5 linked regions of the Mus musculus genome follow. The protein of the gene in region 2 interacts with the protein of the main gene of each other region in a pairwise test. Links are inferred from orthologs where the notes say so. Each region holds a gene or a part of one and is shown on either strand. Other genes may lie near its edges.

The links.
Region 1: the proteins of Krtap26-1 (region 2) and Ccnjl interact in binary tests that used the Homo sapiens proteins (3 or more experiments, as listed by UniProt). The two-hybrid records come from large-scale screens. The link is inferred for Mus musculus from reciprocal best matches to the Homo sapiens genes KRTAP26-1 and CCNJL.
Region 3: the proteins of Krtap26-1 (region 2) and Mgat5b interact in a two-hybrid assay, tested with the Homo sapiens proteins (3 studies listed by BioGRID and IntAct). The two-hybrid records come from large-scale screens. The link is inferred for Mus musculus from reciprocal best matches to the Homo sapiens genes KRTAP26-1 and MGAT5B.
Region 4: the proteins of Krtap26-1 (region 2) and Gdpd5 interact in a two-hybrid assay, tested with the Homo sapiens proteins (2 studies listed by BioGRID and IntAct). The two-hybrid records come from large-scale screens. The link is inferred for Mus musculus from reciprocal best matches to the Homo sapiens genes KRTAP26-1 and GDPD5.
Region 5: the proteins of Krtap26-1 (region 2) and Grn interact in binary tests that used the Homo sapiens proteins (3 or more experiments, as listed by UniProt). The two-hybrid records come from large-scale screens. The link is inferred for Mus musculus from reciprocal best matches to the Homo sapiens genes KRTAP26-1 and GRN.

The regions. Positions count from the first base shown.
Region 1 is NC_000077.6:43,577,191-43,580,994, forward strand, and holds part of Ccnjl (cyclin-J-like protein), read left to right. Parts: intron 1-2,493; coding exon 2,494-2,796; intron 2,797-3,804.
Region 2 is NC_000082.6:88,646,216-88,649,355, reverse strand, and holds Krtap26-1 (keratin-associated protein 26-1), read left to right. Parts: upstream 1-1,559; 5' UTR 1,560-1,624; coding exon 1,625-2,272; 3' UTR 2,273-2,532; downstream 2,533-3,140. UniProt on the Homo sapiens protein: In the hair cortex, hair keratin intermediate filaments are embedded in an interfilamentous matrix, consisting of hair keratin-associated proteins (KRTAP), which are essential for the formation of a rigid and resistant hair shaft through their extensive disulfide bond cross-linking with abundant cysteine residues of hair keratins.
Region 3 is NC_000077.6:116,942,613-116,946,416, forward strand, and holds part of Mgat5b (alpha-1,6-mannosylglycoprotein 6-beta-N-acetylglucosaminyltransferase B), read left to right. Parts: intron 1-2,252; coding exon 2,253-2,368; intron 2,369-2,879; coding exon 2,880-2,953; intron 2,954-3,804. UniProt on the Homo sapiens protein: Glycosyltransferase that acts on alpha-linked mannose of N-glycans and O-mannosyl glycans.
Region 4 is NC_000073.6:99,457,790-99,461,593, forward strand, and holds part of Gdpd5 (glycerophosphodiester phosphodiesterase domain-containing protein 5), read left to right. Parts: intron 1-984; coding exon 985-1,097; intron 1,098-2,169; coding exon 2,170-2,324; 3' UTR 2,325-3,804. UniProt on the Homo sapiens protein: Glycerophosphodiester phosphodiesterase that promotes neurite formation and drives spinal motor neuron differentiation.
Region 5 is NC_000077.6:102,429,037-102,433,507, forward strand, and holds the start of Grn (progranulin precursor), read left to right. Parts: upstream 1-1,470; 5' UTR 1,471-1,504; intron 1,505-3,928; 5' UTR 3,929-3,935; coding exon 3,936-4,073; intron 4,074-4,188; coding exon 4,189-4,314; intron 4,315-4,449; coding exon 4,450-4,471. UniProt on the Homo sapiens protein: Secreted protein that acts as a key regulator of lysosomal function and as a growth factor involved in inflammation, wound healing and cell proliferation. Regulates protein trafficking to lysosomes, and also the activity of lysosomal enzymes.

The sequences.
Region 1 (3,804 bases), on a different chromosome or scaffold from region 2:
TTTCTAGACAGGGTTTCTCTGTGTAGCCCTGGCTGCCCTGGAACTCACTTTGTAGACCAGGCTGACCTCAAACTCAGAAATCTGCCTGCCTCTGCCTCCCGAGTGCTGGGATTAAAGGCGTGTGCCACCACACCTGGATTTTCTTTACTCTTTAAAGGAAAATTTAAAAAGTTAAAAAGTTAAATTTGCCGGGCAGTAGTGGTGCATGCCTTTAATTCCAACACTTGGGAGGCAGAGGCAAGCGGATTTCTGACTTCACAGACAACTTTTTTGGTCTACAAAGTGAGTTCCAGGACAGCCAAGGATACACAGAGAAACCCTGTCTCAAAAAAAAAAAAAACAAACAAAAAGTTAAATTTATATATGGTTATTGGAGAAAAACATAGGAGGTATAAACTCCCCAGAGAAACTGCAAATAGTATAGTTCCCGTGCAAGAGAGAAGAACTGCCCATCCACTCATTTGTCCACCTACAGGAGGTCTTAGAATCGGGAGGTGGTGATGTTAACAGGGTTTTCAACTAAGCTTAGAAAGTCACTGGATGAGTGAGAGCAGTAAAAAAAGGAGGAGGGTCCTCGGTCCACGGGATCACATCCTCGGGTAAGGAAGAGGGGAACTGGATATGAGCATCACATGCCAGTGGGACACCAATTGCAGCCTTAGAGAAGCTTTTCCCTGCTTGGACAGTTTGTGCTTACCCTGCCCCCAAGCTCTCCATGGAGGCCACACCCACTGCGGGCATCCCCACTGCAGCAGCAAACTGCGCTCTGGAAGGAGACTGGCCCTGACCAGAAAGAGCGGTCTCTGCGTTCTCCCTGTTGTGTATATATCCAATTACCCTCTCATCTCCACCCAGCTGTCAGGGCTGTTGCTGGGTCCCTAATAAGACAGATCCCAGGGCACCCAGAGATTCATTTCGCTTTGCCCCAGCATCCTTGCATTTAGAATAGGAGTGTCTGCCGAGCAGCCTAGGGTGGGTGCTTCTAATCTTTCCAGAGAGGCTGGTAAGTAATGGGGTCCGAGAGTCAATGGCCACAGCCATGAGGCATCTGTGCCCCTCCCAACAGGGTCCCTCAGCAGCTGCTCTGCACCCTATGAGGCTGCATGGAGATCACAGGTGACCAGGTCCAGGCTGACCCTCAAGTGGCTCAATTAGGGCAGGCTTGCCCAAGACAGTGACTTGGAAGTGAAGGATACATCAAGCTTGGCTGAGTGAAGAAGGGATGGAGAAGGGTTTTCTGGGCTACAGAGCTCTGCAGACAAGGCCAGGAGACGTAGTGCTTTCAAAGACCTGCCAATGATAGTATCATGGTTTGAATATGCTTGGCCCAGGGAGTGGTGCTATTAGGAGGTGTGGCCTTGCTGGAGTAGGCGTGTCACTGTGGGTGTGGGCTTTAATACCGTAGTCCTCGATGCCTAGAAGTGAGTCTACCACTAGCAGCCTTCAGATGAAGATGTAGAACTCTCAGCTCTGCCTACACCATGCCTGCCTAGATGCTGCCATGCTCCCACCTTGATGAAAATAGACTGAACCTCTGAGCCTGTAAGCCAGCCCCAATTAAATGTTGTCCTTTATAAGTGTTGCCTTGGTCATGGTGTCTGCTCACAGCAGTAACACCCTAGCTAAGACAGATGGGATCCACTACCAGATGTGAAGTGGTATCCTGAGAAAGCAGTGCCTAGTCTGGAGGCCTCCACCCTGCAGAGCCTCACCAAGTGGGCCTACCATGTCCCCCAATAGCTTCTAGTCTTGACCCTTAGGGCTAGAGAAGCCCCTGTTTATGGCTATTGAGGGTATAACCCAAGGTCTAAAGCCTGTATTTTTAACTGTTTTTCAGAATCCCTTCATATGTGGTCAGGCTCCAGGTGTCCACCGCTGCACCTCTCAATGATTTCTTTAGGGCTCTCTTCCTTTCCCTCTTGCCTCCCCCCAGTTTGCCAGTCTTTTTTTGAAATCACCTTCCAAGCAAACTTGTTTCCAAGGCAACTCAAACTAAAACTGGCATGGTTAGAATAGGAGGTCCATGGAAGACAGTGGCGAGCTGTGGACAGCCTCTTCCACACCTAGCAAGATGGGGTCAGACTTGCAAAGCTGTATGGCTCTGCCTGGACTGGTGATGGCCAGACAGAGAATGTGGGAACCTGAAAGCTGCCCCTGACTGCTCTCCAGTGCCTTGGATGTTCTAGGCGTCTATCTGAGCATTCGTCTGCATTTTCTCTGCGTTTTCTCCGTGGACACAAACAAAAGCCTCATTAAGCCATCAGTTTCCCCTGCAATTTGGAGCCACAGAAAGATTGAGACATCTCATCACAGTGATATAGCAGGACATGATGGCTTGAGGATTCCAGATCCAAATACAACCTTTTATTCCCGGGCAGTCCCTCTTACCCTTCCTTCCTGTCTGTATTGTCAACACCATCCGGACATCATAGGTGAGATTTTGCTATCCTGGGTTCAGTTACTCTAGTAAGTTGTGCTTCTGCCTCCCCGTAGGTAAGTTTGAAGACAGGGAAGACCGCGTGCCTAAATTGGAGCAGATAAACAATACAAGGATCCTGAGCAGCCAAAACTTCTCCCTCACCAAGAAGGAGCTGCTGACCACAGAACTTCTGCTCCTGGAGGCTTTCAGCTGGGACCTTTGCCTGCCCACGCCCGCCCACTTTCTGGACTACTACCTCTTGGCCTCCATCAGCCAGAAGGACCACCACTGCCACGCCTGGCCCACCACCTGCCTCCGAAAGACCAAAGAGTGCCTCAAGGAGTATGCTCACTACTTCCTAGAAGTTACCCTGCAAGGTGAGAGCATAGAGCCAGGGGGCTGAAGGCATGGGAGGCTGGGATGGGTGCCATCTAGAGAGGGCCTTCTTTCATGCCTCAAACCCCCATGCCCGTATCTTTGCAAAGAAATGCAGGATATATTCAGTGCTATAGCAGCATAATGCAGAAACAAAATAGCAGCTTACCCAAACATCACCAGTACCTAGAGACCAGCAACTCACCTGGGAAGTTTTCATATGGGAACCTTTAAATCACACCAACTCACAAGTAGATCATTCCCAAGGGGCTGTCATTGCACAGATTAAATAGGATGGGGCAGGTGACAGTGTTCACATCTGCATTGGCAGTAGTAAGTTGGTGTGTCTGGAGTGCTGGGAAGACAGCCCAGGCTATAATGTGCTTGCTGTGAACGTGTGAGGAGCTCTGTAGTCAGGCATTAGAATGCACAGAGAAAGCCAGACGTAGTGACAGACACACCTGCAATCCAAGAGATAGGGAGGCAGAGACAGAAGAATCTCAGGTGCTTGCTAGCTAGTGAGCAGCATGATCAATAAGGCCCAGGTTCCAGTGTGAGACCCTCTCTCAAAAAGCAAGATATAAGCTGAGCGTGGTGGCGCACACCTTTAATCCCAGCACTTGGAGGCAGAGGCAGGTGGATTTCTGAGTTCGAGGCCAGCCTGGTCTACAAAGTGAGTTCCAGGACAGCCAGAGCAATACAGAGAAACCCTGTCTCAAAAAACCAAAAAAAAAAAAAAAAAAAAAAAGCAAGATAGATGGCTGCCAAGGAGCAACACTTGCAGTGTCTATCTGTCTGTCTCTTTCTGTGTCTCTGTATTTCTGAGTGTGTGTGTGCGTGTGTGTGTGTATGTATGTGTATTTTCTCATGGACTCAAACAAAAGCCTCATTAAGCCAACAGTTCCCCTTGCAATTTGGAGCCACAGAGAGACTGAGGCATCTCATCATAATGACATAGAAGAAAGTGATGGCTTCTGTACACACACACACACACACACACACCAGAAGAG
Region 2 (3,140 bases):
ATAAAGAGCGTCAACACATAAATTCGATAAACATTAACCTAAATGTGGCTGTACCTATTACTAATGCCACTCAGCAGATGTGTCCAAGGTTGCACAAGAAGACTCCAGCTACTGCACACAAAGTATTACCTGGTGATGAGGTGCCAGAATGGGCTCCTTAATGACACCAGGCACAGACTGTCAAAGAGTAATGGCTCCTACCTCCTATTCTGAGCTCAATTTAGCACATAAGCATAAGACCTCAGAGTCTATATGGCTTTATCTTCACGCATATCCCTCCTGGTAAAAGAGACCTGCATTGCTGCAGAGAAACCAATGCGCTAGTTCATATTTTCTACTCTCCTGGGCAGAGGGAGACTTGATAAGTGTGGCCATGACCATTGAACATTAAAATAGAAGAAAGTGCTGTGATTTAAATTGAATTTCTAGCCAAAGGGAATGGAATTGAGATTTGGCAGATAATTTAAATTCCCATTAAAATAGCCACTGGAGGTACTGGATATGCCAGTCTGTGAAAACGGCAGTGGATCGTGGAGACTGGCCACTTCCATGTATTTAAACCACATATGTAAAGACATAGACATACAAGTTTTTAAATAGCCTTCAAAGTACTCAAACCTAGCGAAAGTTTGCATATACTCTAATGTAAGAATTTATACCAACCAAGGCATGGAATCCCTTTTGGAAATTGAGATCAGATGTAGGAAATAAACGCTGCCATGTTCATCATAAAAGGATTTGTTCTTTTTACTCAGAATGACGCCTTTCAGTGGTAATATGAATGACATTGTAAGATATGTTTGTTGGATTCATGATAAGTGCCATTTTGTCCAACCCTCTTTATGAATTTGTTCTTGTTCAACCTGGAGTCTATCGTTTTAACTGAACGACATCTCATTACCTACATTCTAAACCATCACGGACAAAGCACAATCTCAAGTGACTGTTTATTCATCTATAGAATTTAATGAAGCAAGCACTCATTTTCTGAATAAACATATTTTCATGGGAAACCATTTTCTATTCAGATGGTGAAATAAAGGAAAACATGCAGGAGTCTTTCCCAGGATGGCCTTTAAAATTCTTTTGATCATAAAAGTTGTAAGATTTTTTTATCTTCTCCTGCAAGCCTCTTGATTTTATATATATATATACCCATTTTACGAAGAGAATAGAATTACTTCTCAGCTAGTTATGTGTAGTTTGCTACTATTCAAAGTAGTTTGCTTCAAATTTCAAAGACAATTCCAAGGAAGAATTCTAAGAAAAATATTTGTGCTCTGGTGACTAGAACTGTACTGAGTCCATAACTTTACAAAGTGTCTGTTTGGGTTGGATAACTTTACCAGGGGCCCTATGAAAACCCAGACACTCTGATTTATGGTTATACTCAATCGATGGAAGGTATTTCAGGGATCATCCGGTTTTATGGGAGGCAGGAGCGCTACTTCCTGGGTATGAGAGAGTTTAGATGCAGCCTCAGACAACAAGGAAGATGAGTCTGCAGACAGAGCAGCCACTCTCTGAGAATATATAAAGGGAGAAGACGAATGAGGGTCAGACTCACACCTGACGTGCTCCCTCCCAGCTGCTCTTAGACCACTACCACTCTCTCAAGTTCACTATGGCTAGCCGTAACAACTGCTCCTCCTCCGGCAACTGCAGCTCTGGATCGCTCAGAAATACCTGCCACATCCCAGCCAGCTCCTCCATTGCCCTCTGCTCTACAAACATGGGCTGTGGAGAGGTCTTCTGCGTCCCCAGCAGCTGTCAAGATCACACCTGGTTCATGGACAACTGCCCAGAGACCTTTGCAGAACCTCTCAGTGGGCAGCCACCCAGCCGTGAAGCCAGCGGCTTTGAAAACTCTTGTTGCTCTTCGACATACTGTGTGCCCAGACACTGCCAAGGATCTGGCTATATTCCTGCGTCTTCCTTCATCTCTGGCTCTTGCCTCCCAGCATCCTACAGGCCTGTGAGCTATGTATCTAGCAGTTGCCGGCCAGTGAGTCCTTTCATGAACAACTGCCGTCCTGTAAGCTGTGTATCTGGTGGATACCGCCCACTCCCTTGTGGATCCAATAGCTGCCGACCTCTGGGCATTGTCACTTATGGATGCAGGCCTTCAGGTTGTGTGACCTATGGCCCTCAGACCATTCACATTGTGTCAAACAGCCTGAGACCTCTGCAGCCTGTCTGCGGTGGTTGCCAACCATCGATCCCTGTGTTTGGCACTTGTCGTCCTTCTTGCTCTGCACAAGGAGGTCAGTAGCTTCCTTGTTCCAGTGAAAAGCAATGAAGACTCAGGATAAAAATTGCAACACTCTGGCTGTTTGCTTCTTTCTGAGTAGCGATTACATTTTCTTGTTCTCACTGTCTATGTTAATGCAAACTGTTCCTTTCACACTGTGACTTGCTTTTATCTTTCCCTTGTTGTAAAAATTCCTGCTTCTATTGCTGCTAGTGTTGCTTAGGCAGGGAACTGTGTACCTGATATGATCTGCACTATAATAAATGAGATAATTCAGAATTAAGAATCTAGTGCGTTGATTTTTCGTTCATGACTTCATTGTAATGCAGGCACGAGCAGCCTCACCTGGTTGCCAGGGGATGTTCTATTGTATTTGCTACCTGATAACCCGGGCAATGGCTTATTATTTAGGAGAATAATGGCTTCAGAACAATATGGGGGAGCAAACTATGACCTTTCTCAAAGTTATGGTCAAAAGGAAAGCTCAACTCTAATCTCTGACCTCTGATTCCTATTGCACACACATCCTCCAGACTATTCTCTAACTGCAAACCCTGCAGTAAGCTTTAGTGTAAGCCTAGGTTGGTCCCTTTGATCTGATCCCATAAGACATAAGTACTTTCTTTGATGCCGCTGCCCTGGCTTCGTCTCTCAATTTATCCCCTTCTACTTAGTATTGCAAGTACTGTATACCCACACCGTTGTCTGACATATGGTGTTCCATAAATGTATCCTTATAAAAATAATCATCACCATTTTATTTATGCCTTTGTCAAGAACACTTTGACCTTCTCCATCTGCTGGAAATATCACAACACAGTTCAAATTCGTTAATTAACCTTAGACGTAAACAAACTAAGAAACGATTGAACACTCACGTATTGTAGAG
Region 3 (3,804 bases), on a different chromosome or scaffold from region 2:
TGACAGGAAGATAAGGCCAGCAGAGTAGGAGCTGTCTCAATAGCAGTTTGTGCCACGCGATAAATACTTCATCTAACAACTAACACGATTCCCAGAGCACTGGCCAGTAATCAACAAGGAAATAAATTCTCCTAAAATCAAAGCGGCCCCATACTGATGGAGAAAAATAGAGGGTTTAATGTCCGTGTCCAGGGCTCTTTCAAGATCCAGGGAAGTGGGCTGTGGATGTGGCTTAGCTGGTAGAATGCCTGCTTAGCCCTGGGTCCCATCCCCAGCACCACGTGGACCAGACACAGTGGTGCTCACTTCGAGAACTTGGGGGGGGGGGGAACACAGGAGGATCAGAAGTTCAAGGTCATCTTCCACACATAGTAAGCTTGAGACCAGTATGGGCTACATGAGACTGTGGTAGAATAACGGAAGGGAGTCGAAGAGATGGCACCGTGGTAGAGCCCTTGCTGCTCAGTCATGAGGACCAGCGTTCAGATCCCTGCTCCCAATCTAGGTGGCTCACAAATATCCGTAACTCCAGTTCCAGGGAATCCGTAGGCAGCTGCGTGTGTGTGTGTGTGTGTGTGTGTGTGCGCGCGCGCGTGTGCGTGTGCGTGTTTGTCTTATTAATTTATTTGAAACATGGCCTTACTCTGAAGCTCTGGCTGTCTTGGAACTCACTGTGTAGAGCAAGCTGCCCTTAAATTCACAGTGATCTTCCTGCCTCTGCCTTCTGGGTGCTGGGATTAAAGGCGTGCACCACCACAACCAGCAAAACAAACAAACAAACAAACAAACAAACAAACAATATTTTAAAAAGATTATTTATTTGTTTGTTTGTTTGTTTGTTTTATGTATATAAGTACACTGTAGTTGTCTTCAGACACACCAGAAGAGGCCATGAGATCCCATCACAGATGGTTGTGAGCCAACCATGTGGTTGTTGGGAATTGAACTCGGGACCTCTGGAAGAACAGTCAGCTCTTAACCTCTGAGCCATCTCTGCAGCCCCTAAAATAAATCTTTAAGTTAGTGGGGGGTGGGAGGAGGTGCTAGAAATGGCTCAGCACTTAAGAGCATTTGCTGTTCTTGCACTTGAGTAAAAAGCTTAATGCATTTGTCCCATGCCTATTATCCCAGCCCTGGGGAGTCTGAGACAAGTGGGTCCTTGCTGCTCAGCCCATCTAGCCAATCAGGAAGCAGCAGGTCCAGTAAGCAACCCTTCCTCTATAATATGAAAAGTAGTAGAGGAAGATACTAGTCAACTGTGCCCCGCCTCCTCCCCCACCACACACCACACACTCTGATAACACACATCCACAGAGATACACAGTCACACATGTACACACACACACAGATACACAGTCACACATGTACACACACATACACACACACACACACACACCGACACAGAGACACACACAATCACATATACACACACACAGAGACACACACAGTCGCACATACACACGCACACACACAGACATACAGTCACATATACACACACAGAAATGTACACACACAGTTACAGTCACACACTCACACACATAGTCACACATACTCATACACACACACAATACACCACACAGACACACACAGACATAGCACACAGACACAGACACACACAAATACACACAGAAACACACAGACACACACTCACACACACAAACATATACACAGATACACAGAAACACAGAGTCACAGACACAGACACACACACACACACACACATACACTCATATACACAGACACACACATACACACACACCATACCCCCCCACATACACACCCATAGATACATACACACTCACACACAGAGACATGCACTGGAAACACACAGACACAGACACACACAAGAATGGGTTCTCAGCAAACCAGTGCTAGTTCCCTGGCGGGTCTCCAGGTTGCTGGTGTGAACTTATCTTGGTGTGAACTTATCTTGGTGTGAACAGACTCAGATGAGCTGGCTGTGCCTAGCAAAAGGCCTTTATCATCCGGGGGGGTTCCTGTGCTCATCTATTCAGGGTCTTGGCAGGAAGACAGAAGTTTCTTTGTCTGCTTCAGTCCCAGGTGCCGTGTCTGACAGAGTCAGGACACAGTAAACACAGCAGACTCGCCCAGAAGTGTGCTTTCCTGCTGTGTCCGAGGTGTGAGTCGGGCAGAGGCAGCTCCAGCTCCGCTTCTCTCCCACCTGGTTTCCGCTGTGGCCTCTGCTCACTGTCCATGGGAAGGCTTATCTCTGGCTCTCCCCTCCCCTCTAGGCTCACCCCTGGGGCCAGCCTCATTGAAAGGATCCAGGCCATTGCCCAGAATGTGTCTGACATCGCTGTGAAGGTGGACCAGATCCTGCGCCACAGCCTGATTCTGCATAGCAAGGGTGCGTCACAGCCAGGACATTGCCCTGTGTCCCCAGAGGCCAGTGCCCTGCTGGATAGGTCAGAGCCTCCAGAAGACCCATTTCTCTGGTAATGCTTGCCTAGTTCTTGGGGGCCCTACTTGAGGCTCTCAGTAGGGGGACCTGGTCTACCCCACCCTGGCCTGCTGGAGGTTGGGGAGGACAGAGTGGGCCGATGTGGTTCCTTTTGGTTTGGGAAAAGCTAGAGGCTTCTGCCCCTCTGCCGTTCTCAGGAAAACAAGAGTATATTTTGTGGGGAGCTTGCGGTGTGTCCATCTGGTAGGCCACTCTGTAGCTGTTTTAAGAGCTTGCTCCTCTGAGCCTGGAGGCGGCTGAGCAAGCGAAGTAGGGCTGTGGGGTGGGAGAAACCTCAGGTGAGGGCAACAGGAGGGTGACCACTGCTCTGTCCTAGCACAGGCCTCTTCACCTTGCCCTCTCTCTTTGGCTACCTCCAGGCCCCGGTGTTTCAGTAAGCCATCTTCTGTTTTTGCAGTGTCTGAAGGTCGGAGGGACCAGTGTGAAGCACCCAGTGACCCCAAGTTCCCTGACTGTTCCGGGAAAGTGGAGGTGAGGCCTCGGGGACCCCCCCCCCTGAGGGGAAGGTGCAGGGTGAAGATCAGACAGGTGGGAGGCTTCTCCTCCAGGCTCTGCCCACTCTAGCTCAGCCCTGGATTTCTGTCCCAGCTGGACTCTGTTAACTAGGTACCTAAGCCAGCACAAACTAGTGGTGACCAACCTCAGAGAAATGCTTTCTCCACTGGGCCTACCATGATAATCAGCCCAAAGACCTCTGAGCCTGTCACCTTTAGGAACTTTGTGCACTTAGAGACCCATTCTAACATCTTGGCAAGAAATGGCATGAGTCTAGTCTTGGTCCCCCCTGCCCAGCTCATGGCTTGTTGGACCAAGGACCCCTCCTGATCACCTCCAGGGGTGTTTTTGACTGCATGATGTCGGTGCATGAAGAGAACCGATTCACACCCTTAAAGACAGCTTCTCGAGCTGTCTATGAGCCTTTAAGGGATAGGCTACGGGGCTGCAGACCCCTTCCTTAGAGATCACATGGAGCCCCTGTGGAAAGAACTTCCCTGGCCCTGGCCCCCATAAAGGATGCCTATGACCCCGCCTCTAATTAAGATGAGGAGACAGGGGGCACAAGGGCTGTGGCTGCTGAATTTCCTGGACCTTGTCGTTGGTGCTTGGCCTCTTTACGTCTGCCAAGTCTCAGGTCCGAGGCCCTCCTCTGTGAGGCTCCAGGGAAGCTGACTTACCTCCTTTTCTGGTCCTCAGTTGTCGAGGGCTGGCTGACCTTGGCCCAGCCTCTCTCTCCCAGTTGTATGTCTCTAGCGTTCTGCTGCATCTTTAGGTTGGGGCAGGCCTCACGGCGAGATCTTGGGGACCCTGTGGCTAGGGGAGTC
Region 4 (3,804 bases), on a different chromosome or scaffold from region 2:
CTGCTTTGTTGACCAGCTTCTAGGTCTGAGGCTAAGAGAACCTCGACCCTGGCTATGGGACTGAGCCCTTGACAAGAAGTCTACTCGCGCATTCTCATTCCACTTGTAGAGTACACAGGCGCTGCCTGTGTGGTTCTGAGCCCAGCAGACAGGCACAGCCCCAGCAGGGTCATTGTCTCCTGTGGGTCAGGAATAGCCAGAGAGAGGACAGGGAGCCATGGGAGATGAATCTGGAGAGAGATACTTACTGTGGGCCTCACCTGTTCATTCATTGATTCAACAAACACTTGCCTAGCCTCACAGCGTGCCCGGCATCGAGGCTGGCACTCGGGGCCGGCCAAGGAGCCAGAGGAACAAGCACTGGCCCACCGAGGCGCAGTGCCTTCCCCTCCAGCCTCCTGCTTCCCCTCTGTCTGTCCTACTACCCTGTCTGTCCGTTTCTGCTGTGTCGGCCCCATCTATAACCCCACAGTGAGTTTTATATGGAGTCTTAGCTGCCTCCAACCACCCAGCAGGGGTCCATCTCCTGGGGAGTCAGGGGTGCTTATTTCTAAGCAGATAACTCCAGACCATGTTCCTCTAGCATCTTTGTCCGGGGACCTGTGAGGGCTAGTCCTAAGCAAAACCTCACTGTCACTGTCCTCTTTGGCCCCTTCTGGTTTTGCTCAGCCTGTTGTGTTAGTTGGTTTATAGGAGGTCATCAGTGTCCTATCTGCTAAGCTCCTTCCTCCCAAGACTGTCGCATCCAACGAGAGCCAGGGTATAACATATAAAACTGCCTTTCCGGGTCAGGGTGGCTGATAAAGGAGGTGGGAGAGAGGCAGGAGGGCCCTGGCTGGAAATCAGTACACTACCCCTCTCTGGGCCTCAGCTTCCCCATTTGGATCATGGGTCTCTCAGGCCACATGAGGAGAGGCTCTGGGCAGGGTCTCTGCTCCTGGGAGGCTGGGGGAGGACCTGATGCTCACTGGGCCGTCTCTGCAGGTGGCGCCTGGGTGGTATACGGAGTTACAACCCAGAGCAGATCATGCTGAGCGCCGCTGTACGCCGGACCAGCCGGGACGTCAGCATCATGAAAGAAAAACTCATCTTCTCAGGTGACAGCCTGTGCGGGCCCTGGATTAGGTGGCACACATGTAATACATCAGGACAGGTGGATGGCATATCCCTCTTTCCAGGTCCACACCCACGCACGTACCAAGAGACAGAAACACATGTGTGTCCTCATCACACAACCCCAGATCTTGAGGCTTAGTATGAGCCGTGGGTTGGTGAACAAATGTGACAAGCTGGAGTGTGGGGGTGGGTGTTTGTGTGAAGGCCCAAGGCCTTTCCTTGGTTCACACATGACTTCCACAAGTGACAACAGCGTTCTTTTCCGTCCCTGCTGGCATTCCTGGTCTATGAAGGCAGCTGTAAAGACCTGTGCGGAACTGGGTGTCACTGAGGCTCCTCAGAGAAGAACTGAGTCAGAAAGTGTGCTCAGGGCTCCCTGGGGCAGCAAGAAAGGTTTGAGGTGGTGATGTGGCTGGGTGTGAAGGAGACTGGAGGTGCCTGGGTAACGGCTTGATCAGACACTAGGAGGAGTGCTTCTGTGGACACGGGTGTGCCCCAAGGTGCTGCTTGTCTGGGCGTAAAGAACCAAGCAGCATTCCACAGAGCCACCTTCCAGAACCTCGGCTCTGCCCAGTCACCTCCCAACACCAGGACACGGGCGATTGTAGATCGTGAGAGGGCTGGATGAACTGGGCTGGCTTGAAATATGAAGTCCCAGCCCAGCTTGGGGAATCAAGGAGATGTCTAGTAGGCATCCCATACCAGGGATGGGAAGCTTGAGCTAGATTTTAGGAAAAGAGCTGTTGCTGGGGAGAGAAGACACTGGACAGAGAGAAGGCAACGTGTGCAAATGCCCGGAGCAAAGTAAACACTGGGTAACAAGCCCCCGAGGGTGCATTAGGTTTCTGCAACAGGAGTTCCAGGGGGCAGAGGACTAAGGGCCTAGGAGGGACTGAGGAGGCCCCTGAACGCCAGGCTCAGTGCCCACAGGCTCCATGCTGACTGGAACCAGTGATTACATCTGTCTCCGAGTGCCTTCCTTTCCCTCTGCCTGTCCCCCTGTCCTCAGAGCCAATCTTCCTCGCTCACATTCTGTCTCCTCTGGTCAAACAGAGATCAGTGATGGTGTGGAAGTCTCCGATGAGCTCTCCGTATGTTCAGACAGCAGTTACGACACCTATGCTAATGCCAACAGCACAGCCACCCCCGTGGGCCCTCGAAATGCTGGCAGCCGTGCCAAGACCGTCACAGAGCAGAGTGGGCATTAGCTGAAGATCTGTCTGCCCAACTTGTACCCAAGGTAGAACCTAGAAGAGAGGAAGGTCTGATGAAAAGAAGCTGCACCTAGAGGGCCCGGGAGCTGGCTCCTCAGCCTACTTATGTGCTCCAAGCTCCTTTGTCTGTTCCAGTCTCTCTTGCATGAGTGGGGGGGTGACCAAAGGGGCCCTCTCCGCTGAGGCTCAGCTGGACCAGGACTCCAGCCTCTAGATGCCCCTGCAGGCCTGGGGCTTTTCATCCAGGAAGCGAAGGCCTGATCTCCTGGTCCACTCTCATAGTCATCCTTGGCCTCCCAGCCTGGAAGGGTTGGTGAGTCACTGGGCTGTGCCGTGTGCCACAAGCAAGTGGAGGACGTGGATGTCTCCCTATGCCCACACCTCTCTATTTATCTGTCTGTGCTGTGAGATGACTAATGTTCTCACCCCTGCCTTGAGGACGTTGGCTGGGCCTCCCTCTTGGGGGGGGGGGGGTGTTTCTACGCTCTGCACCCATCTCAAAGCACAAGGAAGTTCATCTCAGGAGAAGAAAGCAGTGGCTGTGGTGGAGATGCGTTCCTCCCAACCAGCTCCCTTCTACCACTGACCTCTCTGTCCCTGAGAAGCAGCTGGAGAGGACCGGAATCACAGGCTCAGGGCTGTCCTGCCTCACACCCAACTGTCCAGCAGGCCTCTGGGGCAGAAGAAGCCTTGAGGACCAGGTGAACGACAGACTGATCTGACCTCAGGTTCCCACAGCAGCGGCCACAGGGCAATGGGCCACCTGGGCGAAGCACATTGGGCTCAGTCAAGCATGGGCCTCTGGCCAAAGTTGCCTACAGTAGAAGGAACCCAAGGGCAAAGACAATTAAAGCTGCCATCTTGATGTGTGTTGTCTCTGAATTGTCAGTGGCAGTTTGGGGACCCAGCATGCTGGGGTTGGGATTAGGTGTTGGCCCCGGGTTTTGATGAAGAGCCATTTTGCAGATGAAAGTGAAGACTACTGGATATCTGAGTCCCTCCCTTGATCAGCCATGATGCCAGGACTTCAGCAGCCCCTGAATTGTACACCCAGTGAACACCCTTCAGTTATGTGGAGCAGGATGCTAAAGTGACCATCCAAAGTCACATAGGCAAAGCCAGGGCTACTCTTTGAGAAGCCTACATCCACACCCTTAACTCTTATGCTTAAAAACTGTCTTTGGGGGGAGGGTGGCACATGCTTTTTAAGAACTTACCTTTTTTAATTTTAAAAAGTTTGCATTTGTGTGCATGCATTCATGCCACTTGCATGGGGGCACCCTCAGAGTCTAGAATAGTATGTTGGCTCTCCCGGAGCTGGAGTTGCAAGCAGTGGTGAGCCACTTGATAGAGGTGCTGGGAACTAAACTTGGGTCCTCTAGAATAGCAGCCAGAGCTCTTAACCACTGAGCCATCCCTCCAGCCCCCAAAATGTCTTTCTAAAAAAATAAACTCCAGTGGGCTGGGGAGATGG
Region 5 (4,471 bases), on a different chromosome or scaffold from region 2:
TTTGTTAAGCTTTTACCTGCTCCCCATTTTATTTCCCCTTGAGGCAGTGCTGCGTCTAGGATGTAGCTCAGTTGGTAGCACTTGTAGCTCAGCATGCTCAAGGCCCTAGGTCTAATCCCAGCAGCACAGAAACTAAACACGGCAATCTGCACTTGCAATCGTGGCGCTTGGGAGATGGGGGCAGAAAACTGAGAAGTTCTGTGTCAGCTATCTATCAAGCTGAAGCTCGTCTGGAACACAGGAAACCCTGACTCAGAGGGTGAGCTGCAATGTTGCTGAGTCTGGTTTCCAACTCCTGGGGTTCAGCAGCACCCCTTCCTCAGCCTCCGCAGATGGCTGTGTCTCACTAGAAGCATAAGCAATGGTCTGTTCTGGGGACACCTGTATGAATGTCATGGAACACCTATGCTAACACCATCAGGATGCAGAATGATGCACCAGTCTTACACACTTTCTGGGACTCCAGTGTAAGAAGCCCTCACGGAATTCCACAACCCTGCATGCACTCCTCTCTATGTAAGACTCCCACTGTCCTGAACTGTATGGCTGACCCCCATGGTCTCTATTCACCCACCATAACAATTCCTCGAAGGTGGGGACAGCTGAAACAAGGAAACCCCTTCCATCTCGACAGCCACCAGCCTACTCCACAGGCAGTGCCACACACTTGGCTAATGCCCTTATCTTGAACGTGGCTTTCAACCCTTGCTAGAGGCTGTCTGTAAAGAACAAGATATAAACTACCCAAGGAAAGGATTCACTGTCTTTCCCAATCTAGTTTCAAGTTCCTCTGTCCCACCTTATCAGCCTCTTAAAATTCTTTCAGCTTCAATTTAATGCAGTGCTATCAATATGGATTTAAATCTCTTCTTCCCCCCAGTTTGAGCCAATCTCCTGCCTCCTCCCTACACACATCTACAGTGCCCGGTACTCGCCCTTGAACCTTTATTAGATTTAGTCTAAGCCACTCTCCCCATTCAAACCTGGGGACTATTTATCTTCACCCTCACAACCATCTTCCAACTGGTTTCGAGTCCTTGTCTGCCAGGCGTGAAGAGACAGGAATGTACAAAAGTCCCGATCCAGAAGCAGACACCCTCCAGTAAACGACCTTGAACGCGTGCCCTCAGGGCAGCTCTCCTAACTGTGGGTGCCCTTAGGCATGAGGTGTCTCATCTCTGCAACACTCTGCCGCCAGAACCCAAACCAGCAAGCTCTGCCCTGGGGGAGGCGGGCTATGTTGTCATATGATTCTCTAATCACATGATCCCTAGAAATGGGGTGTGGGGAGAAAGAGGAAAGGGAGGAGGAATGTGAACTGAGTAGAAAAGAAACACAGCATTCCAGGAGAGTCCCGCCTCTACGTAGACAAGTAACCAATGGAAGCCCTGGATCTCCGAGCAATGGCTAATGGAAATTGAGGTGGGCGGGCCATCGTGCGGCCAAGCCCTAGTCCTGGAGCTGACCGCCAGATGCCTCCCAGGGAGCCCGGACCCCGACGCAGGTAGGAGGACCCTCTGCAGACAATCTCCCCGGCTACTGTCCAGAGGTCCAGAGGCCTGACCAGGCTGCCTGTGCAATTGAGGGTCCTCTGGAGTCTCAGCTCAGAGACAAGAGAAGACCTGCCTCTTGAAACTCCCCTAGGGGTTTCTGATGCACTAACGAGGTTGTTTTTTTCTTTTCTTTTTTGGAGGGGTGGGGGCAGTTGTTGTAGAGACACCTCCCCGCACCCCCTCCCCCCCAATAAGAGGCTTCTCTTGCCCAGCATGTCGGAAAGCTGCAGGCCTTTCTCCAGGACAGGAACCACCCCACTCTTGGGCCAGCTCCTCTCTTGTCCGTACTTCCCACCTCTGTCTCCAGGTCCGGCTCTTTCTCTTTCGGACGCTGCAAGTGTTCTCTGCGGCGGCGTGCATTGGGTGGGGATCTCCGGCCCTTGGCCCCCAGAGCTCAAAGGGGTTGCGAGCAGGACCAGGGCGTGATGGCTGAGTCCCTGGGTTGTGTCAGCTTTATTTCCTTTCTTGGGGGGCGAGAGAGCTAATTTCCGCCTCTCCCCGCCACTTTTCCCCCGCTGCCTCTCATCTGGATTGGCTCACCTTTTAGGAAATTCATTTCCCCTCGACACTCAGAGTTGGGGGGTGCCACCTAGTGGAAGATGTCGGAGCTAGGGCTTTGAAAGGCTCCAGTTCTCCCTAGCTGTGTAGTGTAGAGGTGGCCAGGGGCTCACCACTCCCTAGCCCCGTTGAGAGGAACTGGGTCTTCCCTACCCCTTCCTGGTTAGGAGATGGCCTCTGGGATGTTCTTTGAATTAGGTGAAAGGGCACTTGAAAAGACCTAGAGAAGGAAAGAGAAAGATGGCAGATCCTTCTATGTAGCCCAGGCTGGCCTGGGATTCACCTTATAGCCCAAGTTGGCCTGGCACTTGCAACCCTCCTACCTCAGCCTCCCAAATGCTGGGATCAAAAGCATGCCTGCCATGTGTGGGTGGCATTTCCTGTCTTTCATAGCCACCAGTGTCCAGGCAGAGAAGAATTGAGACACAGGGAGCAATTTCTGACATAGAGTGTCACTTCCAGGACTAAAACCCAAGTCTCTGTACCTACTTTTTAAATATTTTATTATTATTATTATTATTATTATTATTATTTTTTTTTTTTTTTTTTTTTTTTGGTTTTTCGAGACAGGGTTTCTCTGTGTAGCCCTGGCTGTCCTGGAACTCACTCTGTAGACCAGGCTGGCCTCAAAACCAGAAATCTGTCTGCCTCTGTCTCCCAAGTGCTGGGATTAAAGGTGTGCACCACCACCGCCCGGCTCCCACCCTGTTTCTATCCTGCTTGGGTCACCTGCCAGAAAAATGCTCTGTCCTGTCCTGTTTGGACCTCTGGCCTCTGGGATTCAGGGTCCTTCTCTGACAATATTCAGGGAGACCAGTTGGCATATGAACCCAGTCCCATATCCCGTCTTTTTTCCCTGACTTGATCCTTAGGCATGGATTTGAAAAGTGAAAGTAATATTATAATTACTGTTTTGCATAGTTGTTGCAGAGAAATACAGTAAGGAGAGGGAGAAAGACTCCCTAGAGGGTCTTTGAATATTGTTGGGTCATTCTGGGTTGCTGGGTAGGCCAGCTGGGCTGGGGAAAGGCTTATTAGGGAAGTGAGAGGCTCGGTTCCTCCTGCTGAGGCAGTGAGGCACTGTGCTGGGTCTTCCCACTTGCAGCTGAGTTTCGGTTTCTGAGGGGGGAGAGACGGAGGCGGTCCGTTTGAGGTGCCCTGGTGATGTCGGGAAGGGCTCACCATGAAGTTAGCTTTAAGGCTGATCCAGTCTCTGTGTCCCCTTCCCTTGGGTGGGGTGGGGGGACAGTTGTGGGTAGGCGGTGGCTGGCCCATAGGGAAGCCAGACCAGACCCCACTGACCACTGCACTTCTGTTTTTACAACTTTCTCCACTGCTCGGTTTCCCATATGATCATGTGACTGATGACTGTCCCTCTCCATCCCCCAAGGCTTTTGAAAGCTACAGGTGGCAGTTCAGTGCCGGCAGTGGGGCTGGCCATCCTCCTGTGTCTGCTGAGGTCTCCTCTGCCTCCCAGTTAGCCCACAGTCCCATAGATAAAGCCACAAAAGCCACATGCCTTCCTGACTGCCATACCCCGTGCCCCCCCCCCCCACTTACCCAGAGTCTCAGCCGTATGTGAGGCCATGAATCCACACGTGTTCATGCCCACAGTGTGTGCCAGCTGACGCATGTGCGCTTGCTGCACACTGGTAGGACGCTGACACAAGCGACACATCTGCTTGCTTTCCTGTTGGCTTGTTGAGAAGACTCAATGAAGCCAGGGCCTTGGTCAGAGCACAGGGGAGTGCGTGGCCTCAGAGTAGAAGGTGGCACAGAGTTTAAGGTGGCTGCCAAACTTTGCTTGGCATTTGTAGGCAGACCATGTGGGTCCTGATGAGCTGGCTGGCCTTCGCGGCAGGGCTGGTAGCCGGAACACAGTGTCCAGATGGGCAGTTCTGCCCTGTTGCCTGCTGCCTTGACCAGGGAGGAGCCAACTACAGCTGCTGTAACCCTCTTCTGGTGAGTGCCTCCTGCCCCAGTTGGCACCCCGGGCCTTTTGAAGGGCTGGCTACCTTGGATTGACCAGAGCAAGGCTGGCACAGACCCTTTGGTTGATGTCATCTCTTCTTTCCAGGACACATGGCCTAGAATAACGAGCCATCATCTAGATGGCTCCTGCCAGACCCATGGCCACTGTCCTGCTGGCTATTCTTGTCTTCTCACTGTGTCTGGGACTTCCAGCTGCTGCCCGTTCTCTAAGGTGACAGTGCCATTGGCTTGGGGAGTTGGGGTGTGTGTGTGTGTGTGTGCTTAAAATCTGTGTTTACCTCTTTCCTTCACTCTAATAGTCCCAAGCAAAAGCGTCTTGCTCACACAGACCTCTCTGTGTCCATAGGGTGTGTCTTGTGGTGATGGCT